3 linked regions of the Arabidopsis thaliana genome follow. The protein of the gene in region 1 binds, or shares a complex with, the protein of each later gene. Each region holds a gene or a part of one and is shown on either strand. Other genes may lie near its edges.

Region 1 (10,395 bases):
AGCAATACAGTGATAGGATTCTTGAATATCCTAACACTAATTTCCTCCATAGTTCTATTAGGATCAGCTCTATGGATGGGTAGGAGCAAAACGACATGCGAGCATTTTCTTCAGAAGCCACTTTTGATCTTAGGCCTAGCTATCTTGATCTTGTCAGTAGCTGGTCTAGTCGGTGCATGTTGTGACGTGGCTTGGGTCTTGTGGGTGTACCTCTTCTTCATGGTCTTCATCATAGTCGCACTCATGGGTTTGACCTTGTTTGGATTCATAGTGACTAGCCATAGTGGTGGTGTGGTTGTCGATGGTAGGGTTTATAAAGAGTTTAAGCTTGAAGCATATCACCCTTGGCTTAAGACAAGGGTGGTAGATACTAATTATTGGGTTACTATAAAGACTTGTCTCTTGGGCTCAGTCACTTGTTCCAAGCTCGCTCTTTGGACTCCTCTTGATTATCTCCAAAAAGACTTATCTCCTCTTCAGGTACTCGTTATAATCATTCCAATTTTTTTCATAATCAGTAAAATTAGTAAACTAGCTAGTCATTTAGAGATTTGTAACATAAAAATAAGCTAGTGCTAAACATTACATGCTAATAATAATTCGAGTAATTGAAATATTCTGATATTTGGAAACAGTCTGGATGCTGCAAACCACCGACGTCGTGCGTTTACAACACGGACACGGTGATACAACAAGACCCTGATTGTTACCGGTGGAACAACGCAGCGACGGTGCTCTGCTATGATTGTGACACGTGTAGAGCTGGCGTTTTAGAGACTGTACGTCGCGATTGGCACAAACTCTCTCTAGTGAACGTCATTGTTGTTATTTTCCTCATAGCTGTTTACTGTGTTGGCTGTTGCGCGTTTAAAAACGCCAAACGCCCTCAACATTACGGCTTCCCTTATGGACGTTACGGCATGTCCAAATCCAGACCTGGATGGGAACAGTCCTGGTGAGATTAACTGCTTAGAGAATTACAATATTTTTTTTCATTGAATATACGTTTATAGGTTTGTTCTCTTTTCTAATGCAACAATTATTTTTATTATTTTCGCGGCATGTAGGTCAAGGTGGTGGCATGGGAGAGATCGGTATTAGTGAAAAATATTTATGTTAATGTTTTCGAATATCACGGTTCAACTTTTTGGTTTCCAATATATAATTATTGATTTTGAACAGAACATAAATTTTTTATAATGAAATTTCTAATTCGAGAAAAAAAAATTTAGTCACTTCCGATCCACAAAATCTGAGTTAAGAAATTGAAAAAAAAGAGCTAAATGTTTTATGTTTATGGAACATTATTTTAAATGTTATTTTAGGTAGTCAAATGGGTTATCTTTGGGCCAGACATTAGTCATTGAGGAGGCCCACAAAGGTATAGAACTAGAGTAACGAAGCCTTGCCTTGAAGGCAATAATCGCTTCTCCCACATCGGAAGTTTGAGGATGGATACTCGTCTGTGACATAGTATAAATAAAGAACATGGTCGAAGCTTGCAAATTACTTACCTGGACGGGGTCAACTCGTGATCAAGAAGACGAGTGGCCTAGGCTAGTGAATTCCATTGCACATAACGGAAGGGTGCTTAGCTTAAGGTCTTCCCTTGTGGAAGAGCCTGCGTCATTATTTGTGGCAGAGGGGGTTTGCGTTCGCGCAGCCCCTACCATTCCCAGTAGTTCAATCTTTTGTTCATGAATACCCATGGCCTAGGCTAGTGGCTTCCTGCACTTGAGGTGCGCTAAGCCTAAGGTTTCCCCAAATGGCCAAGTGGGAGATCCTGCGTCATTATTTGTTGCCTTGGGGGGCTGCGTTCGCGCGGCCCATTCCATCCGCAATAGTTCAATCTTTTTAGCTCTCTGGTAACTGTTATAACATCTGAGGTCTTTCTTTAATTGTTCACGTTTTTGGTGGAGCTATTTTATTGAAGGTTGTTAATTTGACTTTGGAGATGCAATCTTCTAATCAAATCTCCACGTGAGAAGCGAGGATTCTCTCCTCGTCATTATTTATCCTTCCCAATTAGAGTAATCACACTTTTCTGTCACATATGAATTATTAAAATCAGAACTTAAGCGAAATCCTTCGACCACTAAAGAAGAAAATCCCTAACAAATCTCAGAGTTTGTGTTAATTTCTTCTTTCCTTACATCTTTTCCAGAAGAAAAAAAGCTGAAAGATGTGGTTTTTTGGATCGAAAGGAGCATCTGGATTCTCTTCTCGTTCCACAGCAGAGGAAGTCACACATGGTGTTGATGGGACTGGTCTCACTGCCATTGTCACAGGTTTTCTTCTATCAATAGTTTCATGCCCTTTTGCGACTTGGGTTTGTCTAAAGTTGTAGACTTTTCTATAATTATGAATTGATTTCATATGTAGGGTAGAGATTTTTTACTTTTATTGTTTAGACAATTGGAATTTGATGTTTTTATGATCAGGGTCTGTTTTTGGTTCGGTCAACCCTAATAAATATATGGAGGTCATCACCGTTTGTTGTTCTAAAGTTTGTCTTTTTTTTTTGCCAATAAGTAACAAGCTTTTGCTCACAAGAATTGGATTGCTATGTTTGGTGAATTTTAAAGTACAACATGTTTGGGACCATTTGATCTGCAAATAACATGTGCTATTAGAAAGTTACATATATATACATACTTGTCTCTGTTTCAGCTGATTCTAAGTTATGTTATAATCACACACTATACAATTTCTGACCAAAGGAAGAAAAAAAAAAGATTTGCTTGTAGATCTCGTTTCAATACTTTTGTGAAGTGCTGCTTCCTTATTTTGGTTAGATTGAGTATGTAGTTTAGTATGCACATGTTCTGTATCAGCCTATCAGGGTATTGAAAAGGCTAGGAACGAGCTTAATCTATTAGTTGATACAACTTAAGAAAGTGAGATTTCTGAACATGTTGGATCCTCAAGTTTTGTTTTGTTTGTTTTCATGTTTTTTCAGGAGCATCAAGTGGTATAGGTGTAGAAACAGCTCGTGTTCTTGCACTGCGTGGTGTGCATGTGGTTATGGCGGTGAGAAACACTGGCGCCGGTGCTAAAGTTAAGGAAGATATTGTCAAGCAAGTCCCTGGAGCTAAAGTTGATGTCATGGAGTTAGAACTCAGCTCAATGGAATCTGTCAGGAAATTTGCATCTGAGTACAAATCTGCTGGTCTTCCACTCAACCTCTTGATGTAAGCTATTGAAATATCGTGGTTCATCTATAGCCGTTTGGATTTATTGACGTTTATGTTTTGACTTGTCTCAATTTTGTAAGCAACAATGCCGGGATTATGGCATGTCCTTTTATGCTCTCTAAGGACAACATCGAGCTGCAATTCGCAACCAACCATTTAGGTGAGTATGATAACCAAACCAACATTATGGCTTTGTCCTACATTTTATATAATTAGTTTCTAATCAGTGCAACGGTTTTTGTAATCCAAATACATTTCAGGACATTTTCTGCTTACCAAACTTCTGTTAGATACAATGAAGAACACATCACGTGAAAGCAAAAGAGAAGGAAGGATTGTTAACGTATCATCAGAAGCTCATCGTTACTCGTACCCAGAAGGAGTCCGCTTTGATAAGATCAACGACGAGTCAAGGTACTAATGGTGAACCAAATAGTATAATTCTCCGATCCCATCTTTTCTTCTAAAGCCAACATTCTTCCTTGATTTGGTCTCCACATGCAGTTACAGTAGTATACGTGCTTATGGACAATCTAAACTCTGCAATGTATTGCACGCCAACGAGCTTGCAAAGCAACTGAAGGTAAACTACACTAAACAAAGCAAAGATATAGCAAATCAAGAATCTATGTTTCCATGGTTATCTTCAATTCTGGTATATGATTAAAAACAGGAAGATGGAGTCAATATAACAGCAAATTCACTTCATCCAGGAGCCATTATGACAAATCTATGGGGCTACTTCAACTCCTATTTGGCTGGTAACTTCTTTTCTCGGATTCAACTCTCATCACTCCATGTTTCATAAGGTTACACTCAAAGTAAACAAACGCATACATATATTTTGAGTCTCTTCTGATCTCTCTGTCACCGGCTTAATGCAGGAGCTGTTGGTGCAGTGGCTAAATATATGGTCAAGTCTGTTCCGCAGGTATGCATCTAATTTCTGAACCTCACACTAATAACCAATCACTTGCAAACTTGTCACTAGGTTTCTCAGCTTAAGTAGGAGAGAATGATACAGCAGTCTAGCTTTACGGATTGATTTGGTTTTTGTTGGTAATCTGGTTTATAATGTCTGAGTATTCGACTTGGTAGGGGGCGGCAACAACTTGCTATGTGGCATTGAATCCACAGGTTGCAGGAGTTACAGGGGAATACTTCTCAGATAGCAACATTGCTAAACCAATAGAACTTGTCAAAGATACAGAATTGGCGAAGAAGCTTTGGGATTTCAGCACTAAGCTTACTGATTCGCAATGATGATTACCGTTGCAGTAGATAGTTGTTCAGGGAACCTTTACTTTCGATGTCTCTATTGTGACAATACTTATTTCAGTCTTTATTGATACAAAATAAAATGTAAAAAACAAATCTGAAATCATTTCCATTTCAATTCTGCAAAAAGATGGTTTATCCAATTTCAGCCTAAACAAAAGTGTTACTTATCTGTTTTCTCATTGACTCAAAACAGTTGTCTAGTGAACTAACTCGTAGACATAAGTAAGTAAGAAACCAAACAGAAAGAGCTTAAAACATCTTCTGATTTTGGAGTTAACTCATGTTATTGGTGGGAGCTATTTTAAGGACATTTGTTAAATCCTTTAAAAAGAAAGTTGTTAATAAATCCCCATCATTTGACTTTGGAGATGCACTATTCTACACTTCAACCTCAACCTCGTGAGACATGAGGATTAAAGTAAAGTAATCACATTTCTGTCACATATGAACAAATAAAGTTATTTAAATCAGAATAAAAGCGAAATCGCTTGACCACTCAAGAAGAGAAAAACGCTAACAAGTCCCATAGTTTGTGTTTATTGGACTTCTTTCCTCTCATCTTCTCCAGCAGAAACAAAAAAAGCTGAAAGATGTGGTTTTTTGGATCGAAAGGAGCATCTGGATTCTCGTCTCGTTCAACTGCAGAGGAAGTCACACATGGTGTTGATGGGACTGGTCTCACTGCCATAGTCACAGGTTTTCTTCTATCAACACTTTCATGCCATTTTGCGACATGGGGTTGTCTAAAGTTGTAGACTTTTTTTCTTATAATTTCCAGAACTTTTGTCCTCTCTGATTCTGTCTTCGAATTGATTTCATATCTAGTAAAAAGACTTGACTTTTATTGTTTAGACAATTGGAATTTAAGGTTTTTATCATCAGGGTCTGTCTTTGATTCGGTCAACTCTAATAAATATTGAGGTCATCACTGTTTCTTGTTCGAAAGTTGTCTTTTTTTTCAAGAATTTGGATTGAAAATTCCATGTTTGGTGAATTTTAAAGTACAACAAGTTTGGGACCATATGTATAATTGCATGTTAAGGGAAAATAACTCGTCTCTGTTTCAGCTGCTTGTAAGTTGTGTTATATATCACAACTCTATACAATTCCTGGCCAAGGGAAGAAAAAATACAGATTTGCTTGTAGAAATCGTTTCTATATTTTGATCATATTACATTAGGGCCTGAAACAAGAACAATGGAGTCCTTGAATTGATAGAACCCTGTTAGGTGACACTAAAGACTTGCACATACATATTTGAGTGTAGCATCGATTGGGCAAACCCTGAGTCAGCCTAATAGCCTATCAGGGTTTGAAAAGGCTTGGAAGAGCTTAACTGATCATTGGTTGATACAACTTTAAAAAGTAGTCTAGCCTGCATTGAGTTTTCTGGACATGTTTGGTTCCTTAAGTTTTCTTGTCTTTGTGTTCATATTTTCAGGAGCATCAAGTGGTATAGGAGTAGAGACAGCGCGTGTTCTTTCACTGCGTGGTGTGCATGTGGTTATGGCGGTGAGGAACACTGACTCTGGTGCTAAAGTTAAGGAAGATATTGTCAAGCAAGTCCCTGGAGCTAAACTCGATGTCATGGAGTTAGATCTCAGCTCAATGCAATCTGTCAGGAAATTTGCGTCTGAGTACAAATCTACTGGTCTTCCACTCAACCTCTTGATGTAAGCTATTGAATACTGTATATAGCGGTTTTGATTTATTGATGGTTAATGTTTTGAATTGTCTTAATCTTGTAAGCAACAATGCCGGGATTATGGCATGTCCTTTTATGCTCTCTAAGGACAACATCGAGCTGCAATTCGCAACCAATCATTTAGGTGAGTAGGAGAAGTAAACCAACATTATGTGGCTTTGTTCTAAAGTTATATACTTAAGTTAACATCATCATTAGTTTTTAGTCAGTGGCATGGAATTTGTGATCCACTTTATTTCAGGTCATTTTCTGTTGACTAAACTTCTGCTAGATACAATGAAGAGCACATCACGTGAAAGCAAACGAGAAGGAAGAATTGTTAACCTATCATCAGAAGCTCATCGGTTCTCGTATCCAGAAGGAGTTCGTTTTGATAAGATCAATGACAAGTCAAGGTACTAATGGTGAACCAAATAGTAATTCTTCTATCAAAATCTAACATTCTTCCTTGGTTTGGTCTCCGTTGCAGTTACAGTAGTATGCGAGCTTATGGACAATCTAAACTCTGCAATGTGTTGCACGCCAACGAGCTTACAAAGCAACTGAAGGTAACTAGAAAAACAAGAGATCTATCAAATCAAAATCTATGTTTCCATGGTTATATTGATTCAAATCTGGTATGAATAAAATAGGAAGATGGAGTCAATATAACAGCAAATTCGCTTCATCCAGGAGCCATTATGACTAACCTCGGGCGCTACTTCAACCCCTATTTGGCTGGTAACTTCTTTTCTCTTATTCCACTATCATCACCCCATACTTCACAAGGTTACACACAAGTAAACAAACGCATACATATACTTCTTCTGATCCTCTCTGGCATTGGCTTGATGCAGTAGCGGTTGGTGCAGTGGCTAAATATATACTCAAGTCTGTTCCACAGGTATGCTTCTAATTTCGAAGCCTCACACTGGTAACCAATCACTTACAAACTGGTCACAAGGTTTCTCAGATCTTGCTTAAAGGATAAAACTTGGTTTTGTTCCGTTATGTGGTTTATAATGTCTGAGTATACGACTTTGTAGGGAGCGGCAACAACTTGCTATGTGGCATTGAATCCTCAAGTTGCAGGAGTTTCAGGGGAATACTTCCAAGATAGCAACATTGCTAAACCATTACCACTTGTCAAAGATACAGAATTGGCCAAGAAGGTTTGGGATTTCAGCACCAAGCTTACCGATTCACAATCAGGAGAAAGCAGTTCTTGAAAGTAAATGATGTTCAGTGAATCTTTACTAATGGTTTCATGTTTCAACGTCTCTTATCTCTACTGTGACAATACTTATTTCAGTCTTTATCAAAGGAAATAAAAACGTATAACAAATCTGCAATAAGATGGTTTATTCTGACCGGTTTAGTTCTAAACCTTCACCAAACACTTATCAGAAGAAAATGTAAAAAAGCTTTGTAATCAAGTATCAGAAGATTTTAAAGACAACTTTCGAATTCAAAAAGAAGAAGAAGCCACGAGGAGACAATACTGTCAATGCATTATTAAAGTGATGGTCAGAAATGAAAATAAAAATCAATGATGATAGTTTTCTAGTTTAAACTCACTTTATTAATGGTTTCATTAGGAAGGTTAAGTAATTAATTAATCTTTGTGATTGGAATTTGGATCATAACGTGCAAATTGTCGATATAGAGTGTTATAGATAGGCTCTGTATTTAATTCATTTCATACCCTCTATATATAATTGTCGGTCGTTAGATGGCATTTGTTTTTATATTTATTTGATTTGGACCAAACAATGCTATTAATGATATGCATTGTATAAATTTCAAACTATAACGAGAGCAAATTTCAATGTAGGTTTAGGACTATATATGTTGATATTTAACAAAAAAGAAAAATTCATCTTAGGGTGATAAGATTGATCACTAAAGATTATTGAAATGTGGCCAAGTACTAGAGTACTACTATTTGTGACTATTTTACAATTGTTCACAATCATATCTATTGTACGTACAAACTATTTGCAGAAAAATCACATGCTCCAATATGAGATATTGTGTGTATGGATGTGGATACCTCAAATTAACTCGTAAAAATGTATGGACCTAATATAGTATATAATACGATACTAAAGATTTTTGTTCATTTTACTGTTGTTGATAGACTTACACTATGATGAGCAACAAAGGACTGAAATTTCAACAACAACAAATGATTTTTGAAATTGTCAAAATTAGTTGTCATCATCAGCAACAACAAAACTAATCAAATATGTTTGTAACATTCTATTTGAGAAAATTTATATAACTATATTGAAAAGAACATATATCACACAATCGTATATGAATGGTTGGGGGATGGACTAATAAAGAGTATGGTAATGTTTCTCAAACTCTCTGAGAAGCCACCAAACCACTTATAAAGAGATCTAAGTTCACACCTTTGTGTTTACTTTATCTAACTAATCCGTGGTACTACAAAGTAATTAAATTGTGGTAACATTGAATTACATATTCATTTTTATTCTATCATTACCAAAAAGTCAATCATGTTGTAGTACATGTACAGATTGGACGCTTTCTTTGTATTTTTCTGCTGTGTACACATTCAACTTTAATAATTGCTCTTCTCCGTAATGTGGTAAAATTCGATTTCATGCATATATTCAGGATTTCAACAACAGAAAAAGTTTTCAAAAATAACCAAAACATGTGGCCAAGTGATCTTTGTTATCACTATGACTAAAATCCATATAATCCTTACAATTATCATTCACATATATTTAAGCTTCATAATTGACTCATCTTTCAATCATTGACAAAATTTGCTTTGTCAAACAAAAGCTAAATCATAAGGAAATAGTGTCTACATGAAACTAAATCAAAATTATTCCTTCTATTCAATTCCTAATTCATAAGGATGGGCCTCACAATTGGACTTTAATTCTCTAAATTAGACCATTTTTCTGCTAAAAGAGCAAATGTGATCTCTTGAAAAGGTGTTGGAGAGGCGATAATTCGGAGCCGTGGATGAAACGTGTGAAAAGGGAGTGATGAGGCCATCAGGACCGTACGTTGATATCACGTGAGGACACGTGGGGGATTGAGTGAGCATGTACAAACAAAACTGTCTTTTGGACTGACTTTGGAAGCAACCAAGGAAACATCGAACATCATTCGGTGTACCATAAAAACAATGCATATCATTGAGCTGTTTGTTACCCCCAAAAAACATATGGTGTCAAACACAAGACTATTGTCTTATCAATGACTATTATTGATTTGAATCTTAATTTATATCCATCTTAAGCTTATCAAGATTCGAGTTAGGGTGGTGGACATTAGTTAATTATCAAATTTTATAAATCCTAACTAAGGGTAGATTTCGGTGTATAAAACCAGGTCAAATTATTCGTTTTATAGTTTTTCTATATATAGTGATGAAAATAATTGTATATATATCTTCCACAATACTTTAAAAATGTACAAAAGTTCATATATCTTCCTTACATTGTTACATGCATGGCTATATCCTACACTTGATTTAGTGGAGTTTATTTAATAACTCAATTATTGCTTGGGAAGATAGATAATTGAACTACGTTCATGGGAAGGTCTACGTCTTCAATCATTGATCCCCACAAAAGCATTGGTCGTGAACACGACTAATACCAATTAAGCACCAAAATTTTGATTTTACTTATCTAGCTAATGAATTAATTTACTTTTAATCATATGATTTTGAAGCAAAATCCAGACTGATTACATTGTATGTGAAAGAGACATATTTTTACTACTATTTAAAATGTTTACGGTGGCTAACTATAAGTGAAATCGTAGAGAAAGAATTTGATTCATGGCATATATCAAATTTTAACCATCATGGTTGTTATTCGTGACCTTAGAATTTATGCGTGTGATCACCCAAAAAAGGTGATATATTTTTTTACATTTGTTTATGATCTAATCTGAATGACAAAAATAAGAAAGCCTTAAACAATGTATACTTTTTATAATTATCTTGATTTTATTATTTGAGTTAGTCTAAATCAAACAAAGAAACAAAAAGTTAAGATCATTGGAATAGTGAATTAGCACTTTACAATGTTAATCCAATGCTATTTCAAAATGGAAGTATATGTATTGATGGAAACAAATAAATAACAAGCATTCTTATAAAATACTAAAAATCAAACCGGACGATCATAATATTTTTTAAAAATTATTGTGCCATTATTCAGAACGTGTGATCTATCTATT
Region 2 (8,582 bases), on another chromosome or scaffold:
ACTCTGAAACTGTCCTCAACCAGTTCCTTTGCAAGAGATAGCTCTTGTCGAAGAAACATAGACCGAGAAATATCACCAGAACGATCTGAAAGCAGAGAAGATTTTGATTTGAACGTTTCACAAATCTCCCTAGAACGTGAAGCTGATGGTACTGATACTGTCATGGCAGACGTTGTACAGAACAGTGAGAGCTCTTGTGCCGAGCAGTCCTCTGTTCAAGTGGATGTGGAAAAGCAGTGTAAGCCTCAGGAGTTGCAAGTAACCGCGGATCTCCTTCCTGAACGGAGGCAGAGTACAAGGACCCGACCCTTGACTACAAAGGCACTGGAAGCTTTTGCTTTTGGGTACCTTGGTAACTCGAATAAGGAGAGAAAGGCTTCAGAGGAGTCGAGAACAAAGTCTAATAAGAAGAGAAAGGCTTCAGAGGAGTCAAGAACAAAGTCTACAAAGCGCATCCATCGTCACTTACCTGTGTCCTCCAAGTTCAGAAACGGAACTGTAGAGGATGGTTCAAACACTGACGAGACTGAATAGACTAGCTTCGATCTGAAATTGACATTTCTGCAAATACTGACCAAGCGCAAAAATTGGGAGGACTTTAGCAGCTAGAGTCAATATAGCAACATAGTTATAGTAAATGTTTTGCCTTTTGTTTCTGTTACCCTCATCTCATCGTAGCACTGTCAAGGTTGAAAGGAGCTATGGAAAGTTGTGATGTTATTTTGCTTTCATCGTATCCAATGCAGCAGAATCAGTGCTCAACAATTTTACATTCCCAAAACTTTTCTCAGCTTTGGAATCATCAAGTTGCAAATTTTCGAGATTAAATTGCTCATCAGAAAGAAACAACTTCGATGAGCAGTGTAAAGAAAGCCAGAAATATCAACAAAATATTGACAATCAGTATGAACATAGTTAGCGCACTGTATTTCTTTTTTTAAAAATTATAGTTGTTGCAGCCATTGCAGAGGGGTCTTCTCTTGTTATTTCCTTCAAAGTTATTCGGAGTTAAGACTAAGCTGAATGCTGACACGAGCCACATTTGGGGCTGCCTTCAGAATCTCTTTCTCTGCATGTTCAGCAGCTATCATGACGTCCCTACAGAGCAGCCAAATACTTGTCAGATGGTTACAAGAGAGTGGCCAAAATGGCCTAAAGGTACAGACATGTAAGAGCTTTACTGTATGGACATGGTTGATGGCATGGCGACTACGATTTGGAGCAAGATCTTGCTATGTAACAAGTGGGGTGTAATTCGTTTGATCGTCAATTTCTGCACATATGCGAAAGATTCCATTGTTCTTGAAACTAATAAACAGGAATAACTAGAGGTTGGGTTAGGTCTGGATTATAGAAAGTGAGTACCTCAGACAACTGCGACGAAAAAATGTCTGAGACAGTGGCTTCAACATGTTTAATCTCTTGGCAGATGTTACTTTCCTTCGTTATACTGTCATGATCCTTGGTGCTACAAGAAAACTGTAAAAAGGCTGGATCTGCAAGGAAAGTTTGAGATGATAGCTAAGACCGAGAAGCAGTGAATAAGTTGATTAGACCTCCATGCAGCATGCTCAATACCTATATGAATAAAAACTTCGGACACTTCAGGATGGTTCAAATTAATCTGTCTCCGTACATATTCTCCTACCTCATGTGCGACACTCACACTGGAAAAAGGATCTACCTGTAAGGAAAAGGTGATAATGATTTATTTTATTGAGATAATTCTTTCTACTCTGAGGCAGAAGGAAGCAGCACTCACCACAATGTGTACATCAAGATACAACGATGAACCAGCTCTCCTACCCCTTAGCCGATGACATCCCTATGGATTAAGATTATCATGAAAGTCTTGATACTCATTCGCAAAATTAATAAGAAAAAACATGAAAGCATGCTTTCTCATTACAGATAACTGATTATAGAAAAGAACACCATAATGTTATATAGCAATTAGCAAGGTCGAATAGTGAAATATACTACAATCTGTACCTTCACTCCTTCAACCTGTAATATGGTTTGTCTTATTGGCTCTAATTGCTGAGCTGGTATAGCAGCATCCACGAGTTCCAAGATACTGAACAAAGAAATGAGATTTCAGCAATGGACATGGTGTTGGAACCAAAAAGACATATTTGTAACCATTATTCCATGTTCAAGCTATTACAAGTGTTGTATGGAGAAAACAAATCGAAAAAGCAACATATATAGCGTGAGTACCTTTGGTGTCCTGTTTTCAGTCCGGCATTGACAATCATTGTCGAGACAACAAGGCCAGCTAGAGGATCTAAAAAATTAACTCCGAGAATAGAACCTCCTGCACACAAGTCATATTTCACGATTTATGAGAACTTCATGTCTCCCTTTATCAGTAGTTCCGTACAATAGCTGGACCGATGAGAGAGACTTGGTAAAAGTAAATAAATGGAATTCAGAGATCTACATTGTCTCCAGTTCTTTAGTAGTAGCCATATGCGTGACCAGGTCTGGGATATTGAAACAAAGGATATAGTTGATTTACATATGTACTGATTGGAAAGAAAAGCTTACCAACTCCAACAAGTGCAACTAGAGAAGAAATAGCATCTGATCGATGATGCCAAGCATTTGCCATCATCAAACCACTCCCTTGTTTTTCACCTGCTCGTTTTGTGATCCAATAAAGCCTGAGAAACATAAGATTCAGGGATGAAGGATCAAAATAAGTGAAGAGAATAGGGATGAAGGATCAAAAGAAAAGGGGCGGTAGGTTCTGAGAAGCAAGTCTAACTAAAGTGAAAATTTGCAATTGTCTAGTAAGAAGCGACGGTAGAGCAAAAGCTGTAGACGTAAAGCAATGGGGTATGATAAACTTGATTGGATTGAAAAGAGTGATAAATAAAGTGATGTTTGTACCCTTCTTTGATAGAAATGGAAGCAATAGTAACAGTCAAAGCGAGAATGGGATGATTCATATCAATGCCGTGATGATGTCCACTATGAATTACCTCAGGAGCTGCGGACAGTGCAATCTGCAAATGAGAAAGGAAGGGAGAAGAACTCTGTAAATTGAATTTATTATATCCCAAATAAAACAAACAATGGAGGATCGATAAAAGATAAACATGAAGTGCAATATATTCTCATACAATGAAGCAAGGTTGTGGAGGTGGAGATGAGTAATTAAAAAAGAAAGAGAAAGGAGAGAGTGGTGGTCATACAGATAAAAGGTCTAAAGCATGCCAGGCAATACCAGAGCCAGTAGCCAAAAGCATGGCAGAGATGCCAAGTGCTCCAAGCGTTTCAAATTTACCATGACCTGCCCTTGTATGCATGGGGAAATTCAGTTCATTGTTATTATAATGTATTTACATCAAAGGAAAGAGAAGAGAAAAGGTAACCATAAGGATGTTCTTTGTCCTTGGGAACATTTGCAGCTCTGTAAGACACTAGAGCAACACCACTTAGAACCTGAGATATAATGATGATGATCATGTGAGAAACAAAACCAAAGGAAGGATCATCTCTCGTCCTCAGCAAATGAGAATTTTCATTACCACATCGGAAACGGAATGAGCAGCATCGGCGATAATGGCGGTGCTGCCGCAGAGATAACCGGTGAGAGCTTTTGCGACAGATAAACCTATATCTGCGGTGAGACCTAGCCGGAATATCTTCTCCCCTTCTTCTCCAGGCTTTTGATATTGCTGGTGATGATCAGGGTGACCAAAATGCCACCTTCTGGAGAAATCGAAACTAGGTTTTTGCGATGAAGAAGAAGATACTCGGAGTGGTGATGATGATGATGATGATGATGGCAGATAACGGCAAGACATATAATATATAGTAGACCTACAAATCCTCGTCGGATTCAGGATTTGAAATCTGATAATACCCATTTTGATTTCAGCTGAGAAACCCTCTCTCCCTCTTTTCTCCGATCAGTTTCCCAAATTGACTTCTCATTCATTGCGCGGTAAGATAGACGGCGCTCATTTTTTTACCGTTTACTTAGTTACCTTTTCACCGACGATTGTAAAATTATACTCAGTCAATGATAGCTTCATTAAAGGCCCCCCATACTGTTCTTTCATATTGGGCCAAATCAAATGTTGGGAGTATAACAAAAAATATTTTTTTTAAAACGGTAATGGTTAATTAACAACACTGATTGATTTGGTCTCTCTTATAAACCAGAAATAACCGATTCTAGAATCGAAAACCCGAACACTGAGTGAGGTAGATATTGGCCGGAATTAGAGTTGTCTACCGGCGGCATCAGCGACAAATGGAATGTATGGAGTTTTGCCGAGTAAGGAGCTGACGACTCCATACACAAAACACATAAAGCTGAAGACGAAAACCCCCGTGTGCCCCCACATCATCGCCTTCATTCCAAACCCGCCTCCTTGACCCGGATCCAGTATTCGGGTCAGCAGCACCGGAACCGCCAGGAGCACATCCAGCGTCACCGCCTGCATCGCGTTGAACCTCACGTACCTACTGAAACTCGTGTTCCTCACCACTCCCAGGTACAGCCCGAAGAATGCCACGAAGCTCGCGTACGGCACCGATCTGTACAGGTTCAGGATTGGGAAGATTGGCTCGAACAGCAATCCCAGCCTTGGGTACTGCGCGAACAGGAACCGCCCGTACTGCAGAGAATTGAAGAACGGCAGCGCGTACGACGCTATCGAAATCACGCGCTCAGTCGCCGGCGTCGGGGTGTAGGAGGCGCGGGTCGTCAAGGCGGTTGCGCGTCTGCTAGAGGGGCGGATCGAGAAGGTTGAGGATCCGGGGAAGGAGAGGCTGAGTGGTCTGCATCTGGGAGCCGACAGGGGATTAGTTAGGGTTTGGTGGAGAGAAAGGCACAGAGACGCCATTCTTTTATTTTTTTGTTTGGGATTTTCGCTGTTTAGTCGGCAGTGTCGATTTGTTGACAAGAAGAGCAAAAAAAAGTAACAGCTCAAACGCTGCCGTTTTCGAATCTAAAATTTGGCCCGCGCACACTAACAACATAATTGGGCCGACTTAGCTATATAAATGGGCCTATATATGGTACTAGAGGGCTTCGTGAACAACAGAAGGTTTTTGTGGCGCCGACAAATGGGAAGCGGAAACGAAGAAATGTGATGGCATTGATTGAAGGCGAGTCGAGTCGAGTCAGACTCGGTCAGAGCGAGTTGAGAGAGCAGTTAAGAAACAGTAGCAGGTAGAAATGACGGATGTGTCCCCACTTTCGGACCAGACCACTTTACTCCCCGAGTTAGCAAGTGAAGTGAGAAAACTGTCTGTGTGTCACATGTTGGCCACTCGCGCGCTATCCCCGCCCAAGGACCTTACCGTCATTTTGGTTGGAAACTAGTAAAAATTAGTTTATTTATTTTTTGTTTGTTGTTTTGTCAAGTAGTATATTTCTTGGAAATATCTTCCCTTTTCTGGGATGCTTTTACTTGGCGACCCAAGGACCAAGAGAGAACCAAAAATAAATCTCACAAAACAAATTAATACAAACTACTACTATATACTATTATTATTTAAAAAAGAATATGAGAAAAAGAAATTGAAAGCTAAAAAAAGAAACAGTAGTGCAGAGGGCAGACCGTACGGTATTCCTGAAGAGCGAAAGAAGAGAGAGAGAGAGAGAGAGACCGACCAAAGAAGAAGCTCCTCTCAATCACTGTCGAAGCATCTCTTCTTCTTCTTCTTCTTTTTTTCTTCTCTCTCAGAGCTTTTCTAATCGGCTTCTCCGGTAAATCTCTGTCGATCCACCGATGAGCTTTTGACATTTACTCTCTTATTAGTTTCTTCTAGTTTGGTGAGAGGAGTTTTTACTAGTATCTTTTTTACTGTACACCAAATCCCTAAATTTAAGGACATGTATGCTCGCAATCCTCCCCTCAATGGCTCACAATCTGCTCAAGCTCCCGACTGGACCCCTGCAGATGCCGATACCGGACTCCAAGGTCTCGCATGCGCTTTGATTCTCAGCAACTGTACGGTCTCTTTAGGGTTTCCGCTAAATGGCCCTGACTGTGCTCAATTTTGTGATTTGCAGAATCGATGTGGCGATTAGGGTTGGGTAGCGACTCGTACCCTGAGAGACCAGGTGCTCCTGACTGTGCCTACTACATGCGAACTGGTGTCTGTGGCTACGGTAATAGATGTCGTTACAATCACCCTCGCGATCGTGCCTCGGTAATTTCTTCCTCTCATTCATTCTTCTTTCTTATTATTGTTCTGAAACCATCCATACTAGGAGGACACAATCAAATGCTTCTCTCTGTTTTTTCCGCAATGTGGGTGATCACTGGCCTTATAGAGTCTCTCTAAACTGGGGAAATTGTTAAGCTTTACTGGTTTCAGTTGTTGTGCTTTACGTCACGTTTTTTTTTGTCTTATGCATTGACTCTACCCGGTGTTTCCCTGTATTTACTGATACCTTTGTATGCTCTTGTAAAAGCTTATCATTTTGTCATCTTAGCTTGGCCACAGTTTACTATTTTCTCATGTTGATTCATGTATAGGTTGAAGCAACTGTTAGAGCTACCGGGCAGTATCCTGAACGTTTTGGTGAACCCCCATGCCAGGTAACCCACCCCGACCAGTCATTTTATATGTTCCAAGTGATGAAACAAGGTTTTTTGTGATATTATTGATCTCTGCTTTCCTGGCAGTTTTACTTGAAAACTGGAACTTGTAAATTTGGGGCGTCATGCAAATTCCACCATCCAAAGAATGCAGGTGGATCCATGAGCCACGTTCCACTAAATATATATGGATACCCTGTACGAGAGGTAAGCTTTGTTTCCACTCATGTCAAATAAAAGGCTAGTCTCGAGTTTGCATGATCTTTTATAAACTCTTTGTAGGGTGATAACGAATGCTCCTACTATTTGAAAACGGGGCAATGCAAATTTGGTATAACCTGTAAATTTCATCATCCTCAGCCTGCTGGTACTACTGTCCCACCACCACCAGCATCTGCACCTCAGTTTTATCCATCGGTGCAGTCACTTATGCCTGACCAGTATGGAGGTCCATCTTCTAGCTTGAGAGTTGCAAGAACTCTTCTTCCTGGTTCTTATATGCAAGGCGCCTATGGTCCAATGCTATTAACCCCCGGGGTCGTTCCTATTCCAGGCTGGAGTCCTTACTCGGTGACCTTTTTTTTTATTGATGTATCATCAATACATTTGTTATTCACCACAGTCTCTTACTGTCTCACTTTTGCTTTTGCTTCAGGCACCTGTGAGCCCTGCTCTATCTCCTGGTGCGCAGCACGCTGTTGGGGCAACTTCTTTATATGGAGTTACACAGCTCACTTCCACCACTCCTTCGCTTCCCGGGGTTTATCCATCTCTGTCCTCTCCTACAGGTGTTATACAGAAAGAACAGGCCTTTCCAGAGAGACCTGGTGAACCAGAGTGCCAATACTATTTGAAAACAGGAGATTGTAAGTTTGGAACATCTTGTAAGTTTCATCATCCTCGAGATCGGGTTCCACCAAGAGCGAATTGCGTCCTCAGCCCCATTGGTCTTCCTCTACGCCCGGTATGCTCTGTGTTAATATGTCATAAAGGTTGTTGATCATAGTTATAACATTTCTGTCTCTAAATCCGTTGTTTATCTTGGGTTGAAAACAGGGTGTGCAACGGTGCACTTTCTACGTACAAAACGGCTTCTGTAAGTTTGGATCAACATGTAAGTTTGATCATCCAATGGGAACGATCAGATACAATCCTTCTGCGTCCTCTCTAGCTGATGCACCGGTGGCTCCTTACCCAGTGAGCTCTCTCTTGGGTGCTCTGGCAGCTGCCCCTTCTTCTTCATCGACAGAGCTCATAGCAGGCGGTGCAAAAGATGCTTACATGACCGGTGTGCCTACATCAAGAAGCACATCAAACATCTCGGCAGGTTTGATTTTCTCCCAGAGCGGTGGGTCAATTCCATTCTCAGAGCTGCAACTCTCGAGCCAGAGCTCTCTTCCTCTAACAGGTAGCAGAATCACAAGACAAGGGCGTGAAATTCGTCGATCCTTTTGAATAGATCACCTCAGAAAAGGGTACGCATACGCAGGTCCTCTGGATCACCTTTTAGCAATTCTTAATCTATATGACTATTATTATATAGAAGCATGTGATGTGAATTTATATATATAATCTTCGTACCTTGAGAAGAAGAAAAAGCCTATTTGAGTAGAAGACCTGAGTGAGAATCACATATATCTGAGAGGAAATCTATATGTGCATATACCAAAAAAGATAACAAGAAAAGGCTTCTTCTTTTTTTTTTTGGAATTTGTGTATAATGTTTGTATAGAGACAGACAAGGTTTCTTTGTCTTGTCCGTACTTCTACTTCAGACCCATTCCGGCTGAGACACAAAAACAAAAAAAAAAAAACTGAGACAAAGAACTCAATTCTCCTCTTCTTTTAGTCTGCCAATTGGTGTACTTCTCGTGTGTTAAGGTTTGTTCTTATTGTAGATGAATGATGTGTGTTGTTAATTTTGTTATGTTACTGCTTCACACATTACATGTGTTATGGTGATGAAACAACCTACATTTCAAGACTAGTTTTGAAGGTTGGCACCATTATCTT
Region 3 (12,937 bases), on another chromosome or scaffold:
CCTGTTTCAGAAACAACTAAGACTTGAGAAAGAGACTGACTCCACTCTCCAGTGGTTTCAAGGAAATCTCGAGGGACCTCTGATAGTACGCCAACGGCAGTGATGGTGATAGGGCCAGTGTAGTTAAACTTCCTCAAATTACGTTTTATAGACGGACCTACCCGAAGAGCATCATAGCCATCCGGAACCGGACACCCCTTTATCTCCCAATAGACCGATATTGTGGCCACAGCTGCCTCCCTCCATCATTCAAGGCCTTAAAGGTAAGAAAAGAAAAAAACAAATTCAGAATATATATATATATATAAGTTGTAGGCTATCTATGCAATTAGTCGATGAATTTGCAAAGAAACATGAAGAGATAAGGAGCAGAGAAATTTACCTGAGAGATAAGCAGAGTCGGTTCGGTTTCGAAATCCCTGATTGAAAGATAAAATTAAATATCAACCCCGCAAATATATAGGGTTGAGAATGGGCTTCGCTTTAATGGGCCTAGATTATTTTCAATCGGCCTTTCCCGTGCACCAATTCTAGTGTATTTTTTAAAGTTTTTTTTCTTGTGTGTAGTGATCGTTTATGTTAGTATTTTTTACATCATACAATGTCATTGAAAAAACTCTTTCAAAGTCTAATAGGATTGCATGTCTCGGATATATTATTTTTACTTTCTGAAAACTCTTTAAATAATTTTCATAATTATGAGAAGAAAAAAAAGATTTTTGCAAGTTTAAATTTTTTAAAAAGATTCAGATTTTTTTTTCGTATTTGGACCTTGATTTTACAGGACCGAAACTGAGTAGCAGCCTAACTTCATGTAGCAAGAAAGCTAGTATTGTGATCTTCTTACTAATTATGCTATTTCTTAAATGTAGTTTTGTAACTTTGTAACGTACGTTGAGAATGAAATATTAATTAAATGTTATAACTATAACTTATATAATTAAAATGTTAGAAATATGTTTTCTAATACTAAAATAAAAGATATGAGTAGAGAAATCAAACAATCACTCACAAAACAGAGTTCTAGGGGTAGGATCGACCAAGTGTCTTGGAAGTTATAATTGGATCAGATGATCTGGAACAGGATAATACTCTCAGTGGCTTCCAAGAAGCAGAGCCCAGAAGCATCACACCTCGAGATTCTACAATATTTTATCAAATTGCTTCTTACTCATTCAAAACTATATAATAAAATAAGAACACAAACAATTCAAAACTTTTGAATCTGAATCTAAATCTTCTTAGTTCACCCAATAAAGTAAGAAAACAAAAAAAAGAGACTCAAGGCTCTTTCTTTTCATAGTTCTCTTATAGTATAGTTGAGCAAACCCGGAAAAGAAAAGTCACCTCCTCACAAAGTGTCCAATGCCTCAGCTGGATCGTTCTAGGGTTTCCACGACCAAACTGATCCTCTCTGTGGCCGTCGAGGGCGACTACTACGGTGGATCATCAGCCGCCGTTCCCTTCAAATGGGAATCTCAGCCCGGAACTCCAAGACGACTCTCCAAACGATCCTCCTCTTCCGGTTTCAATTCTGATTCTGATTTCAATTTTCCGGTTTCAGCACCACTAACACCTCCTCCTTCTTACTTCTACGCTTCTCCATCCTCTACAAAACACGTAAGCCCTAAAAAAACCAACACTCTCTTTAGTTCCTTGCTTTCCAAGAATCGTAGTGTGCCATCTTCTCCGGCTTCTTCTTCTTCGTCGTCCTCGTCTTCAGTTCCATCTTCTCCATTGAGGACATCTGATTTAAGCAACAGAAGAAGATCAATGTGGTTTGAATCTGGTTCGAGTTTAGACTACGGATCGAATAGTGCTAAATCTTCTGGATGTTACGCTTCCCTTGTCAAGGTGTTGCTCAGATCATGTTAAATGATTCTGCCTTTTTTCTTATATTTAACTCTCTCCTATTTTCTTATTAATTTTCACTTCTTTTTTTTCTTTTTTTGTAATCTTGGAAATAATTTCTAAAAACTATGTTTCATCGATTCATATCATCATCTCTATGAATCAATTGATTGGATCATATGGCTTCTATTTTTGTCTTTAAAAGACGTGCTTTTGTATAATTAGAAATTTCGACAAAAACATACTATAACGAGATCAGATCTAGTATACATGTTGATTGTTGAGTATTGTTCTAGTTGTGTGCAGTCATGTGAGACCACCATAGAATTAACAATTAACTTTCACTTACGGTGTTACGGTCAAATCATTTCATTAAAAAAAAAGTTCTCAATGATTGAATTAACTGTTATTCTATTTTTTAGGTTCGTTATGCGGGAACACCCGTCACGTGACACCACATGAGCACTTCAAAGCTGCGCTCTAAATTGTATAAGGGATACACTTCTCGTTTGCAGATTTTCAAATTAATCATATCAAGTTTATGGTTCTGATACAAAATTTTCACAGACTTTGGTCAAATTTCAAATTCAAAATCATTTTTCCACCCTCGGCCGTAACACAATACATAATAACTCAAGTGATTTCTCCAAAGATTTAAAAGACGAAATTGCCCTCTTCTGCAGCAGAAGATAATGCTCCATCTTCCATTTCACGGAGGGCAGTTGCAGTTGAATCATCTATTCCCAGCAGATATTGTAGCCTCAAAACTTTTTCCGGTGCGGGTTTGGGATCACTCTTTGAATAAATAGCATATAGATCAGATAATTCCTCTGAGACCTCCCATGACATTGGCTCAGCCGGCACAGCTTTGTCACATGCAAGCAAATCATTCAGCGACAAGACCTGTAAAACCAAAAAAAAAAAGCATACATACATACACAATTTAGACCCAGAAGCTGAAATATCCATGTTTTCTGTCACGATAAGAGAGGGAAAAGATGATTTGCATACCACTCCTTTAGAGTTTCTCTGCCTGAGTAATGCCACGGCTTGGACCAGCGAATTCGATAATCTACTCTGAGCGAGATCATGGACAACTCTTTTGGCTTTTTCCACATCAATACTGAGATCGGATGGGATTGTCTGGTAGACTTCGGTTTCATCGAATTCACCAGTTCCTGATGAGAAGATGTCACTCACTGTCTTCTTGAATAATTTCTCTCTCAGACTCACAGCGATCATGCTGTCCAGGCTGACATTTGCCTCCTTGAGCTCCCGTATCTGCTTTATGTTCAGTCTTCCTTGGTTAACAGCGGTCTCTATCGCGTTTGCCATTTTTGTGGTGGTTATATTCTTGATAACCTTCTCGGCTTGTGGCTGAGGCAAACCAACTTGTTTTTGCAACTCGTCTAGCTGCTCTACTCTAGCCTTTGTCAATTGCCCATCAGCTAAAATCACTTCAGCTTGTTGCCTAAAAGCCTGCTCGGCTAAACCTACGTGAATGTTGACTATTTCTTTCGAACTCAATCCGAGAATCCCACCAAGCTGATTTAGAAGCAAGTACTCTGAATCGTCTCTCTTTGTTGTGATCTGGGCGCCAAAAGGGATTCTTGTTACCTCTCCAGTTACACAGTAGAGCAAGTATGTTTTGTAGAGATCTATTCTGTCCCTGTCGGGAAGGTCATCTTTGAGAGTTATCTCAGTCTGGCCAGGCTTTCCCATTTTCTCAGCGAGTTCCTTGTCGGGTCTTGTCTTTCTGAGCGATTCAAGGGATCCCCATTCTTCATCTTCATCATCTTCTTCTTTCTCTTGAACAGGGTCCTCCTCAGGTGCCTTATCAGAAGATTCTCCCTTGATATCAGCCACCATTTCAGTCACAACCAACGTGTTGAAAGCAATCATCTTCTTGAGCTCCTTTGCTGAATCAGTACGGTTCTCGGCTGCTCTTGCTCGTCTGATATAGTTTGTGAAAACCCTACGGACCTGCATCAATGAAGGGATTTGATTTTCATGTCTTGCTATGAGAAGTCAGAAAATTTTAACAAATCCTAATACCAAGCATGGAGAAAGTAAATAGTGTGATACTCACAGCTTTGCTAGCAATAGACATGGCAGTCTCTCTGGATAACCGAAGACCATGTGCAGCCTTTCTAACTGATTTGCGAGTTTCAGCATCATAACCATCCACTCCAGAAGAAATGGCATCCCTGACAACCTGGAAAGATTAAACAAAAAGGTAATTAGAGGTAAAACCTTTTGGTAACAAAATGCGAAGGCAGAGAGGGAAGCAGAGGGAAATTGCAGTGCCAAGACCCAAGACCATGAAAAAACCCTTGATAAAGGGAAAAGGGAGGTGATAACTGGATTACCTTTTCAAATATGGTTCCACAGATTTCTGCATGAGCTGTATCAACAGTTTGCTGGGGAATACACAACATAACTCTTAACCTTAATAAAGCAGCAACATTGTCATCGCTCAGCTCTCCATCAGTAACACACTGTTGAAGCTTCTGCCGATAGATTTCTGAGGAAGAGAAGGTGCTTGTCAGATGATTGGGAAAAAAAGACCAAATAGATACTCAAACTGTAAAATAACAGCATGTAACCCACTGAAACACCAGACTTGTTAGAAGTCTGTTAAGAACCAAATCTACAACACTAAAAGCTAGCTTAAAAGGATAAGGAACCCGCAAGTTTACAAGCCATCAACTAAATTGATACCCATGGACACATCTTACATTTGGGCGATTATGTGGCAATTCCAACTGTATACCTCATGCATAACATAAAAACATAAGATTTCATTGTGAACAGAAGGTTCGGCTTATACCTTCATGGATTGCGCCTGCCTTCTGTGCATCAAAGTGCAGCTCTTCGCAGAGCTTTTGAAGGTATTTTGCTTTACTGTCTTGTGCTTCAAGGTCACCACTAGAAACAGCGTTAGCAAGTCTTTTACGGTAAGACTTGGACGTAACATCAACACTAATAGCTTCAGCCTCTCGTTTTCCCAGACCGAGTATGTTTCTAAGTTGGCTCATTGCCACGAGCTACCATACAGTAGAAAGACAATTAGAAATGGAAAAAAACATGCGACTGGGATAGAGGACACAGCATCTGAAAACACTTACTCTCAAAAAAACTTGCAACTAAGCTTTAGTACATAATATCTTATACAAAACTGAGTATACCTTATTTTCTTCTAAGCGCCCACCAGATAAAGCATCTGTAACATATGCTCTATAAAGGAGCTTTAAATCATCCATTCTCCTCTCAAAATCAGACTCATCACCTAAGCCACATAGATCCAAGGTTGAGAGCCAATAATTTTTCTTCAGAAAAGAGAAGGTCAAAAGCATCTTCACCTATCAAAGAAATAGGGCCAACCCCGCGTGCAAATTGATCTGCCTCTGAATGACTTTTCAAGGAAACTAGCAGGTTGTTAAACTCCAGTACTTTTTCAAGCTCTTCCACGACAGATGCCAAACTCTTCCTGGAAAAAATCAGGTCGTTAAAATGACATGCATTGTAAACTACTATAAACTAGACATACTAGATGATCCAATTTGTTTCCACTATTAATTATCACAAGATACAAAAACGCCTATAAAATTAAAATCTCATGACTTTTTTTTAAATACTTATACTATAAGACAATTCACAAAAGCAAAAGAGATCATATGACCAATCAGTTTTTGCAATAACCAAAACTCAAAACTAAAGCCAAAACTTCAATCTCTTTTTTCAACCCGACCAAACTCAATGTTCAAGCAAAGGAATACATATACCCAGCTAAAGTCATAACTCATTGGTATAAGAAATAAAAAAGTTAAATGTGTAACCAAACTGTTCACATGGATAATGATTATTCTATACGATTTTTCTATGCATGATTCTGTAAGCAATATGTTAAAATGATTTACGCTGCTCGTGTGCGGGATTTGAGTATGCTGAGTGCCGATGAAATGTTCTCTACGACTACTTTTCTCGTATGCTCTCTAAACAGGTCTTCAGCAAGCTATGAGGGAGAAGAAACTGTCAGAAGAAGTACAACCAGAGATAGCAGGAAGTCAATGCCACAAAGAAATAGAGTACCTCATCAGAGAGCTTGAATGATAGTTGTGATTTTCTAAGGTCCACAAGGTTTTCTACGTTAATATCTGCAAGAACATGTTTAGAAACATAACCATGTAAGTTTCCATGCATTAAGCTGACGAAAAAGCTAAGTCATATCTTTTTTTGGTTGTCAAAAAGCCATATCTATTATCAATGTTAAATGAGAAGGGACCATTACAGTCGCATGCGAAGTAACAATTAAGGTTGGTATTCAGACAACTTGCTGATAAACGAATATTACAAAACCCAATGGACAAAGAAGTGCCACAATAATCAATATAACCAAGTCAAGCAAACTCAAACCCGTTCTACAAATGTAACATTACTTCCCATCTCAAAATGTAAAACATGAACAACATTACCTCTACCAACTAATTTTAACCGTTCGGCATACAGCTGCTTTGCATTTTCACGAATAGCAATCTCAACCTAGAAATGAGGTCAAGACATTAGCACAGAACTTCAGATTACCAAGAAGGAGTGAGTTGCCAAAATGAAACTTCCATAAAACAACTATTGCGCAAAATCAGAAGTATGAAAAAAATTGGAAATGCCTACCTGAGCATCTGTGACCTTCAATACTCGCTTCCAAGGTAGAAGGAAGGATGAAGCATCTCCAAACACAAGAGCTGAAACATATACAAGCCTCATAAATGCCTGCACTGGAAGCATACAACTTGTGATCACGCTTGTGCTCTCTTTCGAACAATCCTACAATAAACTTAACAAATACTAGGGACTGGCGACTCACCCGACGCTGTTCTGCATCACCTTCACGCTCCCCAGTCTCAAGCCTTTGCCTAAAAATCCTGCGACCAATCTAAACAAAACCAAGGAATTGGTGATTCAGCAATCAAGATCCTTCTGCATCAACTACAAAAAGGCTAACGGCTAATTCAAATGAAGATTAAGAATCTAGAAAGCACCTCCATGTGCATGGCAGCTGCATCAGGTTCGTCTATCCCTAAAGCATTTTTGAACTTGACTATCTTCGCCACTTCATCCCCTTTAAGAGACTGTCCTTCAGTTGGAAGCACGGAAGTTACATACCTAAATCAAGATTAAGATGCAAAGATTACTAATGAATTCCCCACACTAAGAGAAAAGATGAACACAGTATCCTTTGTTGACTCACCGGCAATAAATATCACAAATCTCAGCCTGGAATGCTTCGTCTCCTTTGTTGACACCGTACCTGCAACATATAAGAAGGATCGTTTAAGCAAACTTTTGTTTATAAATCCCAGACACAAATTGACAATTAAATGAAGCACTCACCTATCAGCGATCTTTTCTACATCATCTTTCGTCACAGAGGCAGGATCTTCGAATTCGGCAACATAATTATGCAAACTGATAGCAGCTACCTCCGGTACAGCAGAGTTCAACGCATATACGACAGCTCCACCGGCGGCTCCAGCAACAGCAGCCCCACCAAAGGCAATATTCCTGGAGCCGGCTAAACGGAGCCCAAGGCCGTAACCAGTAGCTAAAGACGCCGCTAATACAACAGCTGAAGTCGCTAGCCTCACCGGCGGTGTCATTTTCTCAACAATCGGTTGCAATCCAGTGAGCTCCTTCTTATTCCCATGGATACCGGGATTCTTCGCCTGCGTAGATACTGATAGTTGGTCGGAGGAAGCAGCTGAGCTACGAGGGAACGAAACTCGATAACGACGGCGAGATAGACACTCAGACTTGGAGAAACGGTGAGGTAAAGTAGGTAGGAAGTGAGAAAGAAGAGGAGACCGAGGAGAAGGTGAAATTGGAGCGTTAATGGCGGTGACGAGTGAGGGATTCATGGTTCCCTCTACTGAGAAAGATCCGAGCAGTCGTTGAAAAAAAGAAGAATCGTAGGGTTTAACGAAAAACAGTAGACAACGGAAGAAGATAGAGATGCGAACGAAGAAAAGGGGAAAGAGATAGGGCCTAACAAAACATCAAAATCCCCTTTCGAACGTCCAGACGTTTTTTAATAATATTATAAAACTACGTGTTGTTTTACTCTTCGGTAACGGTAAGATGTTTACATAAAAAAACAAATTAGACGCCTTGTGTAAATTGGAAACGCCACGATTTCTTCTCTCTTCTTGGCTCTTAGGGCTCGCTAAATTTTCTCAGGGCTGTGACCATCGACCATCGTCGTCTTCGCGGAGCTCAGTTGAAAGATGTTAACGGCTGATATACCACCAAATCAGTCAATCTACATAAAACATATCAATGAGAAGATCAAGAAAGAAGGTAATGCTTACGAAATTCATATAATTGCATCGGTGATTTTCTAAGAGTTTTTGCAATGCTTAAGTAGCTTGGTAATGCTTGTGTGAGCTTCTCTTGAATGAGTTGTCTGAGTTTAAAGTTGCTTAATTTGATGTTTACGAAGGTTAGATTAGATGCATTTAGAGTTATCTTTCTAAGTATTAGGGATTTAGAATTTCTGTCTAATCTTAATAGACCTGAACTAGAGATACTCTAACAAAGGTGCTTTATTTAAGTAATTAAGTAGGAAAGGCGATTGCTTTTGCCATGAAATTTGTTTAGATTGTTTGATTGAAGTCAATGACCTTAAGTTCTTTAGCTGCTGCTTTTGTTTGTCTAAGAGTAATGCTGTTCAAGCAGATCATTGTTTAATGTTTCCACTTGTTTTTTTCAGAGCTGAAGAGGTCTCTTTACTGTTTGTTCTCTCAGTTTGGAAGATTACTTGATGTGGTTGCGTTAAAGACTCCTAAGCTCCGGGGACAAGCATGGGTTGTTTTTACTGAAGTCACCGCTGCTAGCAACGCTGTCCGTCAGATGCAGAACTTTCCTTTCTATGATAAGCCTATGGTACCTTTTTCCTCTCTTATGTTCCAGGTTTATCTATCCCGCTACCGAAAAATGATTTTATCTTGTTATGTGAGACTATAAGCTTAGAAAGTTGCAGAGATTTACTTGGAGGGAAAATTGAGTTTGCTTGCTGATACTTGTTGTTATATAAAATTGAAGGAAGTACAACGACATTAGATGTTGAGGGTATATCATTACACAAGTGATTACTAAGTAAAAGACTAGAAAAAGCTAAATGCAATATTATTATTCAAATCGTGATGTGTGATCTCTGTGGGTGCAGCGGATACAATATGCAAAATCAAAGTCAGATTATGTTACTAAAGCCGAAGGGTCTTTTGTTCCAAAAGAAAAGAAGATGAAGCAAGAAGAGAAAGGTTTAAACTTTCGTTTCCATCACAAGTTCAGATCTTTTCAGCTCATTTCATCTGTGTTTTACTTCGCATCTGATGTTTAACAAAACTGCACATCACTTTCAGTTGAAAGGAAGCGACATGCTGAAGAAACTCAACAACCAAGCATGCCTAATGGCGCAACTACTCAGAACGGAATGCCTGTGGCAATTTCTCTTTCTCGCATCATTCCAACAATACAATATTATCTTCTGACAGACGTCATTATCGCAACTTAGTCTGTAAATCCTTGTTTCCTAATACCCGTCTCTGTAATTTCACAGCCTCCTTTCCAGCCGAGTGGGCAAGACACGATGCCACCAAACAACATACTCTTCATTCATAATCTTCCCATTGAGACGAATAGTATGATGCTTCAGCTGCTCTTTGAGCAATACCCAGGATTCAAAGAGATAAGAATGATCGAAGCAAAACCCGGAATTGCGTTTGTGGAGTATGAAGACGATGTTCAGTCTTCCATGGCCATGCAGGCTCTTCAGGGTTTCAAGATCACTCCGCAGAATCCAATGGTCGTCTCTTTTGCCAAGAAGTGAAAACCAGAGTTTTGTTATGCGGATGAATGGTAATGATATACTAATTAGTAGCTGTTTAAAAGCAAACTGTCTTATTTTATTTGGTTCGTTTCCGATTAGTGGTGTGAATGACCCCGAAGCTTTAGACCAGAATGTAATGAGATCGAAGAATTGAGAGTGATTTGGTTGGAGAAAATCTCATTTTAAATGCCTTATTATTATTAGGACTTTGGGGGAACTAAAACCACGAATTTAGAAATGAGAAGATTATGGGGTTACTGACATCAACCAGCCAAAAAATAGTCGCATTCGATAAATAGAGGCAACAAATATGCTTCATCTCTCTCTCTCTTTTTCTCTCACTTCCCTTTTTGTCTCTGACCTTTAAACAAAACTTAGATACCATTCTAGATCTGATGATAGCAAGATAATCAACAATTCCCCAAAATAAAAACAGAGTCCTCTGTTTTGTTCTTCATCTCTCACTAAGAGATTCTCATCTGTCGGCATCAAGTAGGTTCTGCATATTTAGAGAGAAATCTCTCTTCCTCCACGTTCTTCTCACTGTCTTTGGTACGCACAAAAAGAACAGAGCGATGTCAAAGCTAGACCTGGAGGAGGTGAACTCGATGCAGAGAGGCAAAGTTCATGGGCCATTCTTGGTGGAAAACATGGTGTGCCAGAAAAACCACATGTTGACCTCAAAGGGTGTTTTCTTGGGCAGTGACCCTCTCAAATACGCAATGCCACTTATGTTGCTGCAAATGTCCGTCATCATCATCACCTCAAGGCTTCTCTACCGCCTCCTCAAGCCCTTGAAGCAAGGCATGATCTCTGCCCAAGTCTTGGTAATAAGTTGTCTATATTTCTTTCTTTTTCTGTAATCGAGGAATCTCAGAACAAAACTTAGACTAGTCTATGGAGTCTGGAGCTCTTTTCATTTCTCTCTTTTTGCGAAATTTTTAAACGCAGGCTGGGATCATCCTAGGACCGTCTCTCTTTGGCCAAAGCAGCGCATATATGCAGATGTTCCTCCCCATAAGCGGCAAAATCACTTTACAAACGCTCTCAAACCTCGGGTTCTTCATCCATCTCTTCTTACTTGGACTAAGAATCGACGCTAGCATCATTCGTAAAGCTGGTTCCAAAGCCATACTCATTGGCACAGCTTCCTACGCCTTGCCATTCTCCCTCGGTAACCTCACTGTCCTCTTTTTGAAAAACACTTACAACCTCCCGCCAGACGTTGTCCACTGCATAAGCACAGTGATCTCCCTCAATGCAATGACCTCATTCCCGGTCACCACAACCGTCTTAGCTGAGCTTAACATCCTTAACTCTGATCTTGGACGGTTAGCCACAAACTGCTCCATTGTCTGTGAGGCCTTTAGCTGGATAGTTGCACTTGTTTTCAGAATGTTCTTGCGGGATGGGACACTAGCTAGCGTTTGGTCTTTCGTTTGGGTGACTGCTCTTATCCTCGTGATTTTCTTCGTCTGCAGACCGGCTATCATCTGGTTGACAGAGAGAAGAAGCATTTCGATCGATAAAGCAGGCGAGATCCCATTCTTCCCGATCATAATGGTCCTGCTGACGATAAGCTTGACCTCCGAAGTTCTCGGGGTCCATGCGGCGTTTGGAGCGTTCTGGCTCGGAGTATCACTCCCGGATGGACCTCCTTTAGGGACCGGGCTCACCACAAAGCTCGAAATGTTTGCAACGAGCCTTATGCTCCCTTGTTTCATCTCCATTAGTGGATTGCAGACCAATTTCTTCATTATCGGAGAAAGCCACGTGAAGATCATTGAGGCCGTTATACTCATCACCTACGGCTGCAAATTCCTAGGAACAGCAGCAGCTTCCGCTTATTGCAACATACAAATCGGAGACGCATTTTCTTTGGCCCTCTTGATGTGTTGCCAAGGAGTCATTGAGATTTACACATGTGTCATGTGGAAAGACGAAAAGGTATATTGTTTTGTTTGCATTTGTGTGATCAGATTTCTCTAAACATAAGATCGGTCCATGAACACATTATCAAACTTTTTCATTCATATTTTGCAGGTTCTAAACACAGAATGCTTCAATCTCCTTATCATCACGCTCTTGCTCGTGACAGGTATTTCGCGGTTCCTCGTAGTTTGCCTCTATGACCCGTCTAAACGCTACAGAAGCAAGAGTAAGCGAACGATCCTCGATACGAGACAACGGAACCTTCAGTTCCGGCTCCTGCTCTGTGTCTACAACGTTGAAAATGTACCTTCCATGGTTAATCTTCTAGAAGCTTCTTACCCGAGTAGGTTCAGCCCGATCTCTGTCTTCACACTCCACCTTGTCGAGCTTAAAGGTCGAGCGCACGCCGTGCTCGTGCCGCATCATCAGATGAACAAACTCGATCCCAACACAGTTCAATCCACTCACATCGTCAACGGTTTCCAACGATTCGAACAGCAGAACCAAGGAACCCTAATGGCTCAGCATTTCACAGCTGCAGCTCCATTCTCCAGCATCAACGATGACATTTGCACTCTCGCCCTCGACAAGAAAGCGACGCTCATCGTCATCCCTTTCCACAAACAGTACGCGATAGACGGGACGGTAGACCACGTGAACCCATCAATCCGTAACATAAACCTTAACGTGCTAGAAAAGGCACCTTGTTCTGTCGGAATATTCATCGATCGAGGAGAAACAGAAGGCCGCCGCTCGGTCCTCATGAGCTACACATGGCGAAACGTCGCAGTGATCTTCATCGAAGGCCGAGATGACGCAGAAGCCCTAGCTTTCTCCATGAGAATCGCAGAGCACCCGGAAGTAAGCGTCACGATGATCCATTTCCGCCATAAGAGCTCCCTCCAGCAGAACCACGTAGTAGATGTGGAATCCGAATTAGCAGAGTCCTACCTTATAAACGATTTCAAGAATTTCGCAATGAGCAAACCGAAAATCAGTTACAGAGAAGAGATAGTGAGAGATGGCGTGGAAACCACGCAAGTGATTAGTTCACTAGGGGATTCATTCGATCTGGTGGTTGTGGGTCGTGACCATGACCTTGAGTCGTCGGTGTTATACGGACTTACAGACTGGAGCGAGTGCCCTGAGCTAGGTGTGATCGGAGACATGTTTGCGTCGTCGGATTTTCATTTCTCGGTGCTAGTGATTCATCAACAAGAAGGAGATTCTCTAGCGATGGATAATAGCTATAAATTGCCAGCTTCACCT

The links.
Region 2: Tic32-IVa (region 1) and Tic20-II share a complex: the UniProt entries of both Arabidopsis thaliana proteins name them as parts of the tic complex.
Region 3: Tic32-IVa (region 1) and TIC110 share a complex: the UniProt entries of both Arabidopsis thaliana proteins name them as parts of the tic complex.

What each region holds. Positions count from the first base shown.
Region 1 is NC_003075.7:12,224,106-12,234,500, forward strand, and holds Tic32-IVa (NAD(P)-binding Rossmann-fold superfamily protein), read left to right. Parts: upstream 1-4,797; 5' UTR 4,798-5,065; coding exon 5,066-5,171; intron 5,172-5,916; coding exon 5,917-6,148; intron 6,149-6,224; coding exon 6,225-6,304; intron 6,305-6,421; coding exon 6,422-6,575; intron 6,576-6,649; coding exon 6,650-6,728; intron 6,729-6,812; coding exon 6,813-6,900; intron 6,901-7,016; coding exon 7,017-7,063; intron 7,064-7,205; coding exon 7,206-7,388; 3' UTR 7,389-7,613; downstream 7,614-10,395. Other genes in the region: TET5 (tetraspanin5), read left to right, coding at 1-480, 636-955, 1,068-1,101; AT4G23420 (NAD(P)-binding Rossmann-fold superfamily protein), read left to right, coding at 1,955-1,980, 2,080-2,126, 2,205-2,288, 2,960-3,191, 3,275-3,354, 3,455-3,608, 3,699-3,777, 3,868-3,955 and 2 more. UniProt on the Arabidopsis thaliana protein: Involved in protein precursor import into chloroplasts. Part of the redox regulon consisting of TIC32, TIC 55 and TIC62.
Region 2 is NC_003071.7:19,590,096-19,598,677, forward strand, and holds Tic20-II (putative conserved protein ycf60), read right to left. Parts: upstream 4,907-8,582; 5' UTR 4,863-4,906; coding exon 4,236-4,862; 3' UTR 4,092-4,235; downstream 1-4,091. Other genes in the region: AT2G47820 (arginine-glutamic acid dipeptide repeat protein), read left to right, coding at 1-534; AT2G47830 (Cation efflux family protein), read right to left, coding at 999-1,098, 1,182-1,273, 1,366-1,496, 1,579-1,684, 1,763-1,825, 1,993-2,077, 2,221-2,317, 2,551-2,666 and 4 more; AT2G47844 (uncharacterized protein), read left to right, coding at 5,198-5,344; AT2G47850 (Zinc finger C-x8-C-x5-C-x3-H type family protein), read left to right, coding at 5,858-5,945, 6,038-6,177, 6,507-6,569, 6,657-6,776, 6,852-7,139, 7,225-7,533, 7,626-8,024. UniProt on the Arabidopsis thaliana protein: May be involved in protein precursor import into chloroplasts. Not redundant with TIC20-I, TIC20-IV or TIC20-V.
Region 3 is NC_003070.9:2,127,798-2,140,734, forward strand, and holds TIC110 (translocon at the inner envelope membrane of chloroplasts 110), read right to left. Parts: upstream 7,907-12,937; 5' UTR 7,767-7,906; coding exon 7,243-7,766; intron 7,160-7,242; coding exon 7,100-7,159; intron 7,015-7,099; coding exon 6,891-7,014; intron 6,785-6,890; coding exon 6,716-6,784; intron 6,622-6,715; coding exon 6,523-6,621; intron 6,394-6,522; coding exon 6,327-6,393; intron 6,009-6,326; coding exon 5,944-6,008; intron 5,867-5,943; coding exon 5,772-5,866; intron 5,342-5,771; coding exon 5,214-5,341; intron 5,141-5,213; coding exon 5,040-5,140; intron 4,899-5,039; coding exon 4,682-4,898; intron 4,376-4,681; coding exon 4,221-4,375; intron 4,067-4,220; coding exon 3,941-4,066; intron 3,835-3,940; coding exon 2,863-3,834; intron 2,755-2,862; coding exon 2,506-2,754; 3' UTR 2,256-2,505; downstream 1-2,255. Other genes in the region: AT1G06925 (endonuclease/glycosyl hydrolase), read right to left, coding at 1-240, 354-419, 783-814; AT1G06930 (TPRXL), read left to right, coding at 1,366-1,875; AT1G06960 (RNA-binding (RRM/RBD/RNP motifs) family protein), read left to right, coding at 8,133-8,205, 8,618-8,790, 9,074-9,167, 9,270-9,349, 9,467-9,736; CHX14 (cation/hydrogen exchanger 14), read left to right, coding at 10,312-10,563, 10,688-11,683, 11,780-12,937. UniProt on the Arabidopsis thaliana protein: Involved in protein precursor import into chloroplasts. Forms a voltage-dependent cation-selective channel at the inner envelope of chloroplasts, which specifically responds to a transit peptide.